Saccharomyces cerevisiae S288C: one gene and its partner. The protein of the gene in region 2 interacts with the protein of the main gene of each other region in a pairwise test. Each region holds a gene or a part of one and is shown on either strand. Other genes may lie near its edges. The genes, in order: TRR1 and RHO5.

Evidence for each region.
Region 1: the proteins of RHO5 (region 2) and TRR1 interact in binary tests that used the Saccharomyces cerevisiae proteins (3 or more experiments, as listed by UniProt).

Annotation. Positions count from the first base shown.
Region 1 is NC_001136.10:1,181,509-1,185,037, forward strand, and holds TRR1 (thioredoxin-disulfide reductase TRR1), read left to right. Parts: upstream 1-1,790; coding exon 1,791-2,750; downstream 2,751-3,529. Other genes in the region: YPQ2 (Ypq2p), read left to right, coding at 293-1,246; TRP4 (anthranilate phosphoribosyltransferase), read left to right, coding at 3,239-3,529. UniProt on the Saccharomyces cerevisiae protein: Central component in the thioredoxin system. Reduces thioredoxins 1 and 2.
Region 2 is NC_001146.8:298,918-302,276, forward strand, and holds RHO5 (Rho family GTPase RHO5), read right to left. Parts: upstream 1,733-3,359; coding exon 737-1,732; downstream 1-736. Other genes in the region: PBR1 (putative oxidoreductase), read left to right, coding at 1-641. UniProt on the Saccharomyces cerevisiae protein: Small GTPase that negatively regulates a MAP kinase branch, downstream of SLT2, of the PKC1-mediated signal transduction pathway.

The DNA of each region.
Region 1 (3,529 bases), on a different chromosome or scaffold from region 2:
TTCGCGAAGAAAAAAGATTTCGCTCAGTGATTTGTAGTGACAATAGGTACCAGTGTTATCACTAAGTATATCTTTTAGTATATCTCTTCGCTTGAGGAGGGATCAAAAAAAAACAAACGTAAACGTGCACATAAACGTCAAGTACTTTTTGCAGGCATTAATATTCGTCTCCAACAAAGACAAATAAAGAAGCAATCTTTTCATTACCTTAAGCCAGTATCTATTGATATCAATCGATAAGGTTCGTTGTTATCGGTGCTAAAAATTATAAAGTGAAAATAAGAATCTTTTCATGTCGTGCTCAAACGGCATCTGGCCTACTGTATCTAATTTGTGCGGATCATTATCCTTCTTCACCTCTGTTATTTCATTGTTTCCACAAATAATTGAGACTTATCGAGATAAATCTGTCGATGGGCTATCGCCATATTTTTTGCTGGCTTGGTTATGTGGGGATATTACCTCGCTGATAGGGGCAAAGCTAACAGGGCAATTGTTATTTCAGATACTTTTAGCAATTTATTTTCTATTGAATGATTCTTTTGTATGTGGTCAATATTATTACTATGGCGTGCTGCATGAAAATAAATTGGCGACTGTCGGCCATGAGCCTAAACCTCTTCTTCCCGAACTGGTTGAAAATGGTGAGCTTTTGAGGGAGGAAGAGGACATGATACAAGGTGGTAGCAGTGCAGAAAGCCCTAGAAGCAGTAGAAGAAGGTCTGCCATTACAGCAGCCTTGGCTATAGCTCATACTATAAGTACAGCTAGCGCATATCCGCTAAATGTAGGCTCCACCCAATCACAAGTGGGGCCTCCCGGAGATGGTAAAAACAGCCAGCTGGGTACAATTTTATCTTGGATTGGCGCTTCCTTCTACGTAGGCGCACGTATCCCACAACTAATCAAGAATTACAATAGAAAGTCTACAGACGGCTTATCTCCCTTCCTATTTGCTACTACACTACTCTGCAATATCACGTATAATTTGAGCATCTTCACAAGCTGTAGATTTTTAGATAATCAGAACAAGAGGGAATTCATCGTGAATGAGTTGCCCTTTATATTTGGAAGTGCTGGAACAATTGCGTTTGATTTGATATACTTCTACCAATACTATATCCTTTATGCAACTGATATGCAACTACGTGAACTGGAAAGAGAACTATACAGTCCTGAAGAAGACAGTGCAGCGCAACTAGTGACAGAACGTACATCACTGTTGTCTGGTGAAACGCAAACATAGTTTTCCCTACGGAGTACTACCATTTATATTTAAACAATGCACTCTGCTCTTGGGATAGTCCTTGCGAGACCCTTTTTTCCCAATAGGAATACTACGTTCGTACTCTGTGTAAAAGTACCCAACTATAGTTAGCGCCAGTTTTACGTAAAACCGTCTATGTCTTGTTTGCATTCGCAACAGCTACAAACACATATAGTTTGTCACACTAATATTAATAATGAAAGTTATTATGTATTCACTGTGAACGCTTCAGTATACAGTACGGCAGTAAGTGTTTCATTCTGTTCTGGATTAATAATCTTTCACTTTGCCTAGCCATTTGGGGGCGGGTTTTGGCTGGGTTAGCTTCTCCTTAGTCATGGAGAAAAAAAATCGCCCGCAAGTATCTCGAAAAAGGAAAAAATGCCCACGCGTATAAGAGTGGACCCAACTGCTCGAGGTTTCAAGAGCTTGTAGATTAATTTCTGTAGTTCAGTTATACTTGCCTACAAGTGCTATACAGCAAATAGCGAACAGTACGAAAGTAAACATCATATTATCAATAATGGTTCACAACAAAGTTACTATCATTGGTTCAGGTCCAGCTGCACACACCGCCGCCATCTATTTGGCCAGGGCAGAAATCAAGCCAATCCTATATGAAGGTATGATGGCGAACGGTATTGCTGCCGGTGGCCAGCTAACCACCACTACAGAAATCGAAAACTTCCCAGGTTTCCCAGATGGTCTAACAGGTAGCGAACTGATGGACAGAATGAGAGAACAATCCACGAAGTTTGGCACTGAAATTATCACGGAAACAGTTTCCAAAGTTGATCTGTCTTCCAAACCATTCAAGCTATGGACCGAATTTAACGAAGACGCAGAACCTGTGACGACTGACGCTATAATCTTGGCCACAGGCGCTTCTGCTAAGAGAATGCATTTGCCGGGCGAGGAAACCTACTGGCAAAAAGGTATTTCTGCCTGTGCCGTGTGTGATGGTGCCGTCCCCATTTTCAGAAACAAGCCATTGGCCGTCATTGGTGGTGGTGACTCTGCATGTGAAGAAGCTCAGTTCTTGACCAAGTACGGCTCAAAAGTGTTTATGCTTGTCAGAAAAGACCATTTGCGTGCTTCTACCATTATGCAAAAGCGTGCTGAGAAGAACGAAAAAATTGAAATCCTTTACAACACTGTTGCGCTAGAAGCTAAGGGGGATGGTAAATTATTGAATGCCTTGAGGATTAAGAACACTAAAAAGAATGAAGAAACCGATTTGCCAGTCAGCGGTTTATTTTATGCAATTGGCCACACTCCAGCAACAAAGATTGTCGCTGGCCAAGTCGACACTGATGAAGCGGGCTACATTAAAACTGTCCCAGGCAGCTCATTAACCTCCGTTCCAGGATTTTTCGCTGCTGGTGATGTTCAGGATTCTAAATACAGACAAGCTATTACTTCTGCTGGCTCTGGTTGTATGGCCGCTTTGGATGCTGAGAAATACTTAACTTCCCTAGAATAGATGAATTTTCCATTATAAAATAGATACACTCAAATTTTTGTATACTTATCCAACAAATCGTTACTTTCTCCTTTTCTTTAATAAAAAGCAAACCATGAATTTTATTTCTTTTCCCCATTATTAGAGAAAGCCAATACATAATCTACATATATTGCGTGTCTGAATTAAACTTTTTAGACACATGACATAGGCCATCGGCTTACTTTGTAACGCGTGGTTGCCTATACACCGACTATTAAGTTATGACTAATATTATTGCTGCGCTTCCCCACCTGCATTTTTCTTGTCGTCTTTGCCAAAAGGAAAAAAAAACCTACGCAGATTGACTCTCTAAAAAATGATTCATGACCAGACAATTCAGTAAACATAAACTCTGTTGCATTCATTCTTCTGGAAAACTTTATAATAAAGCATCTGATATTACAGCTACTGACAACTAAGTGAATTTAAACTGCAATAATCACAAGAAAACTTAGTATTCCCTTATCATGTCCGAGGCGACTTTGCTATCTTACACCAAGAAATTATTGGCTTCTCCGCCGCAATTGAGTAGCACAGACCTACACGATGCGTTGCTGGTTATATTAAGTCTTTTGCAAAAATGTGATACAAATAGCGATGAGAGTCTTTCCATCTATACCAAAGTTTCGAGTTTTCTCACGGCCTTGAGAGTTACTAAACTTGATCACAAGGCTGAATACATTGCGGAAGCTGCAAAGGCTGTGCTCAGACATTCCGACCTTGTTGATCTACCTTTACCCAAGAAGGACGAATTACAC
Region 2 (3,359 bases):
ATAGAGATGTAAGAATAATTCTTGCCACCTGCTGGTTACAAGTTGTTGGTGATATTAATATAGAAGATCCGTTGTGGCAAAATGCCAAATACAAAAGCGCCTTGAAGTTTTTCGCAAGCAGCAAGCTACAATTGGGATTGAGTATGATGGAATTGCAAAGAAGACTTACCGAAGACATAAAAAACCAAAAGACGAATGGCGCTGAAAGAACAGGAAAAAATGTTACCATTACTATGGTTCAACCTGGAACTATGAGATCAAATAGCCTACGCCGCGTCATTAGTAATGGTTCGGTGGTATTGTTAATAATACTTTACTGTATTCTGTTGTACCCCATATTGTGGCTGTTTACCAAGAGTGGTCGTCGTGGTGATCAAAGTTTCTTGTACGCTTTAATGACACCGGAATTGGAGGAAGTAAACTTAAAAGACACGAAGGTTAAGTATATCTCAGACTGTTCAATTGTGAAATTTGCTCGTAAAGAATTTGATGACGAGGAATTACAGAAGAAACTATTTGATAATACGGAAAGAGATATTTTACAATTGGAAAAGAAAGTCGCGGCAAAGAGAAATGCCAATAAGACCGGGAATCAAAATTCTAAAAAGAAGAGTCAGAACAAGAGTAGAAAAGATGATTAGAAATGAGAACGTAAATATATGTGTAGATTTCTTTTTTTCTTATTTATGATATCGGTATATGTAATTATTTATTTACTTTTTCTGCCTCCTTGATATTAAAGTATTACACACTTTGACTTCTTTTTCTTCTTGTCGTTTCTCGTCTTTGGTTTAGCTTGCTTGTTGTGATGATTATTTGAGGCAATTTTACTACCTTTGCTTTTTGATTGCTCGTGAATTTTGTCTTTTTGTCCCTTTTTTGTGGGTTTGATATTGAGAGCTTCCTTCTCCTGCTGTAAGCTTCCTTTCGGAAGAGTACTATCTGTACTATTATTATGGTGTGGTTGCTGTTTTTGTTCTCGAATATTTTTATCTCCATTGGTGTTGGTTGTTGCAGTCGTTAATTCATCAGTTAGAGTATGATTTGCTGATTTTTGGTTAGGGGATTCTGGTTCGTAGATAGCGTACCTCACCGCCTGTTCAAAGACTTCCCGGACACCTGCTTGGGTAGCAGCTGAACATTCGGTATAGCCCATAAACCCACATCTTTGTACGAGTTCATCTATTTCCTCTTGAGACACGTAATCGGAGTTTGCTTCCTGCAATTTTTTCTGAGTTGCCGGATCATCTCTTAGGTCACTTTTGGTGCCTACCAATAGAATTGGATACTTCCCTAATTTAGTATAAAGAGAGGTACCTTCAATATTGGAAGTCTGCTTCAGTTCAGGTAGCCATTTTTCTGTGACATTGGCAAAACTAGCATGTTCGCTTACTGAGAAACATATTAAAAAAATATCTGTTTGGGGATAACATAACGGTCTTAAACGATCGTAATCTTCCTGTCCTGCAGTGTCCCATAAATTGATTTTATATAGTTTTCTGTCCGTACTTGGTGAAGAACTGGCAGATGAAAGTGAACCTCTTTTATCATTACCATTGTCAAGCTCTAGGGGGCTACTCGCAGTTCCGTTCGGGATAGCTATCGTAGTAGAATAATTATCAAAAACCGTTGGAACATAGTCTGTTGGGAACGAATTGGTAGTATATGATATTAGAAGTGACGTTTTACCTACTGCACCATCACCAATTATCACACATTTAATAGACCTCATCAGACTTATTAGTATACTATATTGTATTTAATAAATATTTCGGCGTGTGCTTTGTGGGTGCCACCTGTCTTGTATTTCCTATCCAACTGAATATTCTGGATATTGTCTTGTGCAATAGACCGGAAAAAAAAAAGTGAATGTTCCAACGCTTTGGAATACAATGATGGGTCAAGGATCGTGCTTTTGTTCGTTGGTGGATCGGCCGTACGTGTTTAGTGAGGGTACTATTTAAACTTACTTTAAATAGCAAAATAGGAAAAGCTACGAGAAACTGAAAAGTAAAAAAAAAAAAAAAAAATAAAAAAAAAAGAAAAAAAAAGGAGAAACATGATTGCCAGTACTCGCAAGAACTAAGATAGAGAGAAAAAGGACGATATATCAAGAAATAAAAGGGAAGGTAATTCAAGTAAGCACTGCTTAGCTGTCTGCATAGGAGCCTTCTGCAATTACTCATCTCATCGTATTCGTCATAACCCGTTACGTAACTGATTTGACCAAGAAGCGTAATGAAAATTTTGAGCGGACGCCGAAACGTTGTTTTTTTTTTGCTTTAGTCCAGATAATAACCTTTTATAATTTTCTTTTTAGGGAGGAAGACCGGTCTAAGCTCTTAGAGGTTCTCGCATACCCAAGTAAAAGCTAAGACCGAAGCAAACACGCAGGATAATTTTCCGGTTTACTCTCACTGCAGCTTTAGTATAGATGCAGATCTGGTATTGAGAGAGGGGGGCCGGAACGAAAAGATTCAGGGGAGAGAAAGGCCCGGGCGTCGGGGAACAAAACCACTTTTGCACACCTTAATTTTTTAGCTACTCTGTTTCTCCGGGCTTGTATGGCACATAAATAAAATTCTGCTACTTTCCATTATCTGGTCATCACTTACCGATGTGGAGAGCCTTGCCCTTGAAAAATAAGATAAGACCTCCGATTAGGGTATTTGAAATTAACCGCTGTAGAATGAAATAAGGACGCTTGTTTGACATTTTTTAGTTGCTTTCTCTATCTACCACCATTTGCATCTTGATTTATGTCTTGTTTGAGGAGATTTCGGATAAATATTCTTCGAGGGGAAAATGTCGTAAAAATAAAAACAATAAAGAAACAAAACGATTAAAAGAAAAACTCAACCATCCTCAAAAGTCCTCCTCTTTTTTTTCACGTGCTGCGCTGATGTAAGCAGCAGGACATGGCAGGAAGAAAATCGGAGAATTGTGGCCGCGACACCTGACAAACAATCCTCAGGCAAATGTAAAATTGTACATGAAAGGCTGCGTAGTCAATGTCTTAGAAGGCCGGCCCGCATGATCCAGAAGCAGACCATAAAAAAAATAAAAATTCGCGGTCTGGCAGCAGGCATAAGATGCATAGCGTTATCCTAAATGACATCACGATGATAAATCCTCCGCCGCATGATGCTTTTGATTTGCCTAAGGGCCTGCCATCGTGCTGGCTCAAACTATTGAGGGTCAACATACCTTGAAAATCCAAGTAAAAGGATGGATATCGTTATACTAAAAGCAACACAGAAAAGGTCCACGTCAGTTCCACACAATAACATTTACGTAGTGTTCACGCGAAGCAGTTACATCTCAACTAACATAATTGCTGGTGAGCCTACAACACTGCA